Linked DNA regions of Rattus norvegicus. The protein of the gene in region 2 binds, or shares a complex with, the protein of the main gene of each other region. Links are inferred from orthologs where the notes say so. Each region holds a gene or a part of one and is shown on either strand. Other genes may lie near its edges.

Region 1 (5,992 bases), on a different chromosome or scaffold from region 2:
CTGAGTTTGATTCCCAGTAACCACATGGTGGCTCACAACCATCTGTAATGGGATCCGATGCCCTCTTTTGGCGTGTCTGAAGACAGCTACAGTGTACTTATATATAAAATAAATAAATAAATCTTTAAAAAAAAAAGTAACCTGTGGGGTACCTGTCATTTGAATGGCTATCCAAAGGAAGAAGGAAGAGAATGCTTTTAAAGAGAATTAAATGCAGACTGCATAACTTTGTTCTCTAGAACAACTAAATGTAGGCTGAAAAATACAAATTTCAGTCTATTGTGAAGAATATTTTAGAATGGTCAACAGAAGAGTCTCGTTCCAAAGGAAGGTCCTTTCTAATCCTAGAAATGATTGTGTAAAGTCCTCGTGGGAAGTATATAAAGAAGTGTCTGTTAGGATTTCAATTGCGTCGATGAAACACCGTGAGCAAAAAGTGAGTTGAGGAGGAAAGGATTTATCTGACTCACATCCCCACATCACTGAAGGAAGTCAGGACAAGAAGTGGGGCAGGGACAGTGACATTTCTATAGTCCCAATGCACAGAATTATGGGAGAGAATGTTGATTTCCATACAGTGGCACGTTTTTTTAAATAATCATTTAATCTTGGGAAAATGGAAAAAAAAAAGAATTCAGAAACAGCAGGATCCTGGAGACAGGAGCTGATGCAGAGGCCATAGAGGGTGATGCTTATTTGCTTGCTTCTCATGGCTTGTTCAGCCTGCCTTCTATAGAACCCAGGAAGACCAGCCCAGGGATGGCACTAGCCACCATGGTCTGGGTCCTCACCCCTTGACCACTAATTGAGAAGATGCCTTACTGCCGGATGTTATGGAGACATTTTCTCATCTGTGTTTCACTCCTTCAGATAGCTCTAGTTTGTATGTCAAGTTGACAGTAGACTAGCCAGCATAAGGAGTAAGGTAGAAATATAATCTCACTATGAAAATAATTTACAAAATAATCTATAAATGATTGATTCTAGATAGACACAAGTAATTTTACCCTTGTCCAATTTTCTAATAATAGATAATTTTATAAAAGGACCCGATAACATTCTGTACCCGATTAAAGGCTGTTTTTGAGTTGACTCGATTCCTTGCAAGTTACATCATAAGTTCCTTTCCTATTTGCATTATTATTGTAAATATTATCATCATTGTATTATTACTATTATTATTATTGAAAGTGTCTTGCTACAAAGCTCCAACTAACTAAGAACTCACAATTCAAAACAAGCTGGCCTTGACTTAAAGGTGATGTTCTTGACTCTGATTTCTTGTCTGACCTCTTGTCACACACATCAGTTGCTCAATGCCAGATGCTTCTTCCTATTTTATGCCTCTCTGTTTTGCCTAAGATACTCCTCACAAAAGGCAAACTTTCTCCAGGAAGCTCTTCTAGGACGCTAACTAGGCTGGCTTCCCATGTATCTTTGTAAAACACTCTGAACTGCTTCCCGTTAAAACTATTCACTGTGCAATTGCCCATGCGTTGTTTCCCTGATTAATAAAAAATGTAAGCTCTCTGAGGACAGAGACATTGTATCTAATGCGATGCAGAACATGGCAAGTAGTGGCTACATTCACAGGGTCCTTGAAGAATGAATGGGCTGCCTTTAAGTTGAAGTGTAAAATAAGAGACGAAAGTTTATTTTAAATGGCACCAACTTACAAAATTTCAGAAATACCAGGTTGCTTTCTTGGGAGAGTGTATTTCATGAAATAAAAGTGGAAGCACAGGAAGAAAAACAAGAAATCGTCATATAAACCAGACCCATCAAAGTGGACTCAGTATAGAAAGACAGAAATCCCAGGGAAGCAGGGCTTAATGACTGATGCAGCAGTATTCATTCTTAGCTTGGCTTTTAGGGCTGGGAACCGAGGGAGGATAAGTCTTCCGCAATCCTTGCCCTTAAACATACAACCGAATCGGAATTCGACCGAGTGTGGTAAGCAGTGATAAAGAAGGCACACCACTGTTAGGAAATATCTTAGTGAGGAAGTGAGTAGGAGGGATGGAAGGATGTGGGAAGGACTGAGTGGTCAGGGAAGCCTTTCCGGTTTCAGACGAGACCTGGACGATGACTAGAAGACCTGGCCGTGTGGACAAACTGGAAAGTTCAAGAGCCCGGATTTGAGAGCCCAGAGAAAAAAGACTCAAGGGCACCTTGGCCGGACTTGGCCTGGGATGACCCCCTGGCGTGATGGCTGTCCTCTTTGGAACCATTCCTCGGGCCAGGCGATCGCGTCCTGTATTCTATCCCATCAGAGTGGGGTCTGGCCGCAAAGATCAACCCCTTCCCAACGCGGGATTCCCGGAGCGCTGAGCTGGTCGGTGCGGACACCGGAACAGGCCCAGGCTCGCCCGCCGCAGGCTCCGCCCGCCGCGGTCACGTGACGCGGAGTGTGACGTAGGAGGAAGGAGACGCCATTAGAGGGAGGAGAGGTAGCTCTCTCCTAGCCTCGGGTCCCTGACGTGGTAGCCGGGGCCCTTCATTCTGGGACTTTCTCTCGGCCCTCGCAGGCCTCGCCCGCTGGAGGACGCGGCGGGCACCGGGCTCGGCGGGGCGTGAGAGAGCCGGGCCCGGGAGGAGCGGGCGCCGCGGCGGCGGTGGTGCGGGGCTCGGCGCGGCGCTGGGCTCGGGCGGCGGGGCAGCGGCGGGATGGCTGCGGCCGGCGGCGGGGCGGCGGCGGCGGCGGGCCGAGCCTACTCTTTTAAGGTGGTGCTGCTCGGAGAAGGCTGCGTGGGGAAGACGTCGCTGGTGCTGCGCTACTGCGAGAACAAGTTCAACGACAAGCACATCACCACCCTGCAGGTGCAGACCCCGGGGAACCTGGTTAGGGACCCGCGCCCGATCGCTCCTCTGCCTCTGGCCTGTCAACTCCCCCAACCCCCCGCCTACCCATTGCCTTTTGCTATTGCTTTGGGGACACGCGGACCCCGGCAGTCTGTGGATGTCAAGACCCACGGAGGGGAGGGAAAGGACCCGGAAAAGTCCCCAGTTCTGGTGGAGGCTGCGCAGGTTGGGGAGTCCCCAGTCTGCGGGCTGGTTTTCCCCTTTGATGGGCTTCTGCTGGGGCACCAGGTGTTTTCACTCTCTGGTCTCTGGTCAGCCCTTCTTTCCTGGCGAAGTAGGAACTTAGATGCAGATTAGAATTTGCGAACGAGGTGGTTTGTAACTTCAGAGCGTGCTGATGACTAAGTGTTTATGCAAGTTCCATTTTGTCCTGCTTTCAAAGTAAATGGAGTGGTTTAAAACACCCGTCGTTGGAGGTTTTTTGAAACGACCGCTTGCTTGCTGCTTGCAGGTTACGCAGTTTTCATTGCAGCCTTCTTGAGTCGGACGTGGCGGCTCACTTATTCTTTGAGGTTTGGTCTATCCACGTTGAAACATCATATGACACAGTAGACAGCAATTGGTCATCAAACTAAAAATCTGGGCGCTGCTGCTACATATTTTCTTTACTGTCATGTCATGAAACGCGGGGCTTGCTTCTACAGTTACAGCGGAAGAGTCTGGAAGTGTTACAATGTAATTGAAAGTGAAACCAGGCCATTGAAGGCTCTGCGATCTCCCGGTTCTCCTAAAAAAATCAGTTTGCATGTGTTAGAAGAAAATTATCTATTAATGTGTCTTGATCAGACTGTTCAGAGGCTAAAAAGGCTAGTGGACTTGAGTTCGGCCGTCTAGATTCATATCCTACCCCCATTTATTTCTCTAGCCCTGTGATCTTAGGTAAATTGCTTAACCTGTGCATCCCCGGGTGTCTGCTGCCACTGTATCCATAATGATTATATCGAGTACACAGAGTTGTCCAGGTGAATATGGAAACCGCACTTAGCACCGGAAATGGGGTAAACACTATTATTACTGCTCCATCGTGTGCAATTGATCTTAATTAACACAGATGCGACTGGAATGCGTAACCTAATGGGTGTGACATTTGATGTCGGGTGCTATTATTAAACGACCGAGTGTAGAGTTTACCAGGACGCTCGGTTTCTGATTCCATACTTTATTTTTACTCCTCTGTTTTCAATTCCATATAAAGCATGGCACCTAGAGAAGTAAATGTCAGGTGGTAACGCCCAAGTGAATGGTATGGCAGAGCCGGTGCTCAGCCCTCGTTAGATTTTGAGAGGTTATGGTTCACTGCCTCTGGAGATTATAATAAACAACCCATTTTACACTTCCCTCTGTTCTATGCTGGAAGAGACAAGAAAAAGGTATTACAGTAGGAAAGCTTAACTGCAAAGTTAATTTAGCTCTTCAACCTAAGAATCTGCACTATCGAGTCCAGCGATGGTGGCACACATCCTTAATCCCAGGACTCAGGAGACAGAGCAAGCAGATCTCTGAGTTGGAGGCCAACTCGATCTGCACAGCAAGTTCCAGACCAGCTAGTGCTACTCAGTGAGACCCTGTCTCAAAAGAACAAACCAAGAAACTGTGTTTAGGTTATATATTTCTTAAGACCCCCTCAGTGCTAAAAGTGATGAAAGATGTTTAAGTCTGTGGAAAGAAGGCGGTGTGAACCACGCAGGGAGGACGAGCTATGGTGGATCTCAGTACCAATAGCATCACAGCTTAGATTTCTGCGTAAACTGTTTTCATGGTAAACAGTATGTGGGTTACTTGACAGAAGTGAAGGTTTTGTTTACTAACACATGGAAACGACACTCTGATTCCTTCCTTGTGGGTAGCTGTCCACCACCTCGTTCTCAACACTCTTCCCAGAGAAGTTTGATTTGTGTCATCTGTAAGACACAACCTCTTGTTGCTTTAATTTCCAAGAGGAGGAGATTATGCATCAGAGATGGGAGAGGAATCCTTCACAAACTCCATATTCTTTTAAAGGGCTTTGTGTTTAAAGTATTCTTTAGAGTACTCTGTTTTCAAAACATTTTAGACATCTTGGAGGTCACAGACTGGAAATACAGCTGAGTGGTAGAGAGCTTGCTTAACCTGCCAAAGGCGCTGGGTTCATTTGGAGGTGAAATGAACTGCTATCACTGAAAACAGAAGACTTACTATGCCTGGAGGTTTTCCATGTCCTTTTATGTCTAGTGTCAAACAAGTTTTTCTCTTTGTAGAGCCAGAATCTGTTTGAGTCTCAATTCTGCCCTCTGGAACTTTGGTCTCATATGACATTCCTTGAGATGGCTCTAGTGACCTCCCGAGTCTTTGTCTTAGGTAAACAGCTCTGGTTCTTTAATTGGATCTCTAGTGGCATTTAACGTCCTCTGCACTCCTGGTGTCAGGGCACCAGCCCCCATCCTTCCTTCTTTTCCCTTCTTTGTTTCTGTTGTTGCATAAGCTGGCCTGAGACTCATGATCCTCCTGCTTCAGTCTCCAGAGTGACTGGAATTACAGGTACCACCCTCTGCCCGGCTGGCGTCCTCCTTTACTTAAGTGGGGTGCTTTGAGCTGTAGGGATGACTGAGTCCAGGCCTGCTTGGACTGCACAGAGAGGTGCAGGTAGTCACTTCCCCTTCTTCTGACACTGAAGTAGTAAAGTTCCTGTGAGTTTCTGGGGAAGTTGTGGCATTGGTTACTACTGGGTTTGTTGTCAACTAAGTATTAGTCTTAAATGCTTCAAGAAACTCATGTCTCCTTCAGGTTCTCAGTTCTTTGAATTTGTAATAAAGTATTTTTTTTTCTCAATGTGCTTGATCTGTTAAAGTTGACTTGATTTGTACCAGTGTTTAAAGCTTGCCAATTTTATTTTATTTCACTATTTTTTAAGGATGGAAAAAGTTTTAGTTGATATTTTGGTGGTACAGTCATGGCAGGGGACATGGTGACAGGAACCTGGGGAAGCAACTGGTCACATCACATCTGCAGCCAGGAAGCACACACAAATGAATCTTTAATATCCTTTTAAGTCTTGATTTGGCACTCCCCCACCCCAAACATTGGGCCCATTTAGGCCAGTATTCGTCTGTCCCGAGTTCTGCAAAGAAGAAAGATATGGAACCTGTCGTAT
Region 2 (4,010 bases):
GCTGGTCTTGGACCCCTGGCAGCTTAGAGCTCGTGAGGATGCAGGTCTGTCAGAGTGGAGGAGACTGTGACCAGTCTGTGCACACGCTCTACCTCCCTGCACTTCTCTATGAGTGCCCTATCTCTCAGAGCTGCTCATCTCTTTGCCTCCTGTTGCTTGCCTGGCATTAGCATTCTACAGCCCCACGTGATCTGCTGCGAGGAGGAATCCACCGATACTGGTGTGGAATTACTCCAGTGGCAATTCAGCATTGCCACAGACATGAACAGGGTTTGGAAAGTTCACTAGGTATAGCATATGTTTCACATATGATAAATGACAGCTCAGGGAAGGTTCAGGCACAGACCTGGGAGTGCTCCTAGGTGGGAAACAGCTGGGAGAGCAGAGAATAGAGTCTGCTGAGGAACAGGGAAGGAGAGCTATGATGCTGTGGAAGATTCTGGAAAAAAGGGAAAATCAAGTGTCCAGAAAACTGGACATGCCAGTGCACAGCAGCGACTGAGAGGATGGGGTGGGCAGATCAAAAGTGCTGGGTTACATAGTGAGTCCCTGTCTTAAAAAGAGACCAGCCAGTCCTGGTGCCCAAGCCTGCACTCTCAGGACTCTAGACGCAGAGCTACAAGGGTCCAGAAGATTAGGAATTCAAGATCATTCTTGGCTATGTAGTGAATTTAGGGCTAGCCTGGGCTGCCAGGTATCGCTGAGGCAGGGCAGAGGATGCAGAGCACCTGCCTAGCATGCACTAGGTCCTGTGTTTAATCCCCCAGCACTAGGAATGGGGAACTCCTGACTTCTTTCGGCCTTTCTGCCTGACCGCCATGCTCTTCTCTTTCCTCTGCAGTGCTGTGCTGTGGCTTTCATTGAGAAACTAGACGCTCAGTCTTTGAATTTAAGTCAGGAGGATTTTGACCGGTACATGTCTGGCCAGACGTCCCCCAGGAAGCAAGAGTCTGAGAGTTGGTCCCCGGAGGCCTGCTTAGGTGTGAAGCAAATGTATAAGAACTTGGACCTCCTGTCTCAGCTGAATGAACGGCAGGAAAGAATCATGACTGAAGCCAAGAAACTCGAAAAAGACTTAATAGACTGGACAGATGGGATCGCCAAGGAAGTTCAAGACATTGTTGAGAAGTACCCTCTTGAGATTAAGCCCCCAAACCAACCCTTAGCAGCCATTGACTCTGAGAATGTGGAGAACGACAAGCTCCCTCCCCCTCTGCAGCCGCAGGTGTATGCAGGGTGATGTCTCGCTCACGGCCGGCTTGATTTGGGGCTGATTTCAGGGAGCTGCTGCGTTCCACTGTTTGGGTCTGGAGTATGAATTAACTGCTTACAATTTCAAAGTATTTTTAAGGTACAGATTTAGGGATTGTTTATTTTCTTTTTTTTTTCCTAGCAGGGGAAGCTTAGTAAATAATAATGTCCTATTTATTTGAGTTGGTGAAGTAGGTTTGTGTGAATTCTGTGTCAATCTTTTATGTCCTTTCTGATTCTCCCACGGGCTTCCTCTGTGGTAGACACTGTTGTTGGTTTTGGGCAAACACTGTCTTTTAAAGGATAAAACAGATGCTATAAAGTCTATGTTGAAATGAATTCTATGTTCCCACACTCTCCCAGTGTGAAATAATTTTGTAATTGTAAAGATAGAAGATAATGTTAATAAGTAAATATGTAAAATTGTAAATATGTAAAAAAAAATAGGGCTGGGAGGGGTGGTATCAGCGTGCATGGCATTTCATGAGCTGATTTTTTTTTTTAGGTGAAAATGAAATATATTGAATGTTTGCCTTTAGCACCATTTTATTTGGTTTGTTTGTCCCACTAAAAATAATCTAAAAATACATGAGCTTTAACAGGACACTAGCACTAACTGCCCTAACTCTGAGGTCCTGGTACATGTTAATGAAGTTGTGACACCAACTTTTAGGTCACATAAAGAATTGTTCTGGGACCCTGGGGTGGTAGCTCAGGCAGTAAAGTGCTTTCCACACTGGTTCAAGGACCTGAGCTTCCTGTCCAGCCCCCCATGTGAAAAGCCAGACATGGTGACGCACAGTTGGAACAGTGCTGCTGGAAGGCACAGATGGGCAGGTTCCTGGGGGAATGTCCTCCTGACCCTGATTAAACAAAGGAACCAAGATGGACAGCTCCTGAGAAATGATAGCCAAGGTTGACCTCTGGCTTCCACATGCCTACATCTGTGCCTGTGTACCTCTACACACATGTGTACCACATACACATGAACACACTGTTGCTAATTAGTACGGTTGACTTTGAACTGTGCTCATAGCTTCCTTTCCCTAATTCATCCAATAAACTTCCCCCACAATGTTATGGGGGCTATTGCCTTTTTGAATTGATTGGTTCTGTTTTGTTCCTTGGTCTTTTGGGACAGGCTGTTGCTATGTAACCCAGGCTGTCCTCAAACTTGTGATCCTCCAACCTCAGCCTCCCGACGTCGGGATTGGTGGGTTTGTACCATCACATTTAGCTCATGCAGACAAAGCATCACCGAGTTCCGTGATACAACGATGTGGTCGTGGATGCAAGTTGGAGCGAATGAATGAGGCTAATGGGAGTTGACAGGGAACTTCTCAAAGCGCGGAGCAAGTGGGTGCCTTGCGCCCTTCATAGTTTGCTTTACCTTTATCAACAGGTAACAGACAGCAGGTCACATAGACATCTCAGAACTTCTAACCTCTGAATTGACAATTGTGGCCTAAGGTTTTGTTGTTATGGCAACACTGCCTTGTACATTGTGGGGTATTGAGTAGGGTTTCTGCTTTCTGTACCAGTAGATGCCGGCAGCCCGCCCCCCATGTGTTATCATGTGATAAGGACTTATCAGGAGTTCAGATCATCCTCATACACATAGTGAGTTTGAAGAAAGCCTGGACTATAGAACTCCTTGTCTCAAAAAGAGAAAGACTAAAGAAACCTGTCTCTATCTGGTGTCTCCTGGGGGACAGAATTAGCCTGTACTAAAAATCACCGGTCTCTTGTCAGCCAGTGGGTTATGCACCTGGTATAGTTAATAAGCTAGAACCAAAGATTATATAGTGTAATATTACTTGATGTCTCCCTCTGTGAGGCCCTGCCTCGCGGGACTCTTCTCTAATCCCTGTGGAATTTTTATAACCAGGTTATACCCCAGATGGATGACTCTTCTGCATGGTTATCAGCACCTTTGTGAAATTAGTTGTTCCTCAGGACGCCATTCTTCAACAGTGTCATAGCATTCAAGGAGCTGAGAAAGGCTTTCTTCCTTTCTCAACATATTTTCCTAAATGTTTACTACACATATGCAGCATAAGAATTTTTGGAATAAAAGTAGGACAAAAATACAACTTTTAAAAAGTATTTTGTTTTTCATTACGTATGTGTCTCTGTGTGTGCATGTGTGTGAGTGCAGGTACTTATGGAGGCCACTAGAGGGCGTCAGATCCCCCCCCCCCCCCCCCGGACCTAGAGTTACAGGGAGCTGTAGTGAGCTACCTGCTTGAGCTGCTGAGAACCAAGCTCAGGTCCTCTGTAAGAGCAGTATGCACCGGTATCTGTCGAGCCATCTCTCCAGCGTGACATTTAAAACTTTAGTGCTTTATTTATGCTGTTAACTAGACCGAATTCGGCACGTCAACGGTCACTAAAGACATAGAGCAGTTGAATCAGCTGTTCCCCAAGTTCACTCAGGAGGCAGTGAATGAGGGTCAGGCGCCAAGGAAGAGGCTAAGGAGATAAGATGGCCCAGTAGGTAAAATAGCAAGCTTTGTAAGTGTGAGGCCCTGGGTTTAATCCCCAGAACCTGTGTTAAAATCCTGGCACGGTAATTATGTTCTTGTAATCACAGCTCTGAGGAAGTAGTGGCAGGAGGGTCTCGGGGCTCACTGGCCCTGGCGGCCTAGTCTGCTTGGAGAGTTCCAGGCCAGTGGAAGATACCGTTTATCTTAAAAAACAAAACAAGGGGGTTGGGGATTTGGCTCAGGGGTAGAGCGCTTGCCTAAGAAGCACAAGGC

What was found.
Region 1: the proteins of Rabgef1 (region 2) and Rab21 are in contact, whole or in part, in a crystal structure (PDB 2OT3), measured with the Homo sapiens proteins. The link is inferred for Rattus norvegicus from reciprocal best matches to the Homo sapiens genes RABGEF1 and RAB21. Residues at the interface, in NP_001273991.1 of Homo sapiens: Leu253, Cys254, Lys296, Phe299, Asn300, Lys303, Pro309, Ala310, Ser311, Ala312, Asp313, Phe315, Leu316, Pro317, Ile320, Leu347, Met348, Thr349, Gly350, Glu351, Gly353, Tyr354, Tyr355, Thr357, Asn358, Cys360, Cys361, Ala364, Phe365, Ser373; in NP_055814.1 of Homo sapiens: Ser19, Phe20, Lys21, Gly26, Glu27, Gly28, Lys32, Thr33, Leu37, Thr50, Thr51, Leu52, Gln53, Ala54, Ser55, Phe56, Ala71, Trp73, Asp74, Thr75, Ala76, Gly77, Gln78, Arg80, Phe81, Leu84, Ile87, Tyr88, Asp91.

Annotation. Positions count from the first base shown.
Region 1 is NC_086025.1:52,811,399-52,817,390, reverse strand, and holds the start of Rab21 (ras-related protein Rab-21), read left to right. Parts: upstream 1-2,447; 5' UTR 2,448-2,667; coding exon 2,668-2,820; intron 2,821-5,992. UniProt on the Homo sapiens protein: The small GTPases Rab are key regulators of intracellular membrane trafficking, from the formation of transport vesicles to their fusion with membranes.
Region 2 is NC_086030.1:32,094,684-32,098,693, reverse strand, and holds the end of Rabgef1 (rab5 GDP/GTP exchange factor), read left to right. Parts: intron 1-841; coding exon 842-1,240; 3' UTR 1,241-2,356; downstream 2,357-4,010. UniProt on the Homo sapiens protein: Rab effector protein acting as linker between gamma-adaptin, RAB4A or RAB5A. Involved in endocytic membrane fusion and membrane trafficking of recycling endosomes. Stimulates nucleotide exchange on RAB5A. Can act as a ubiquitin ligase.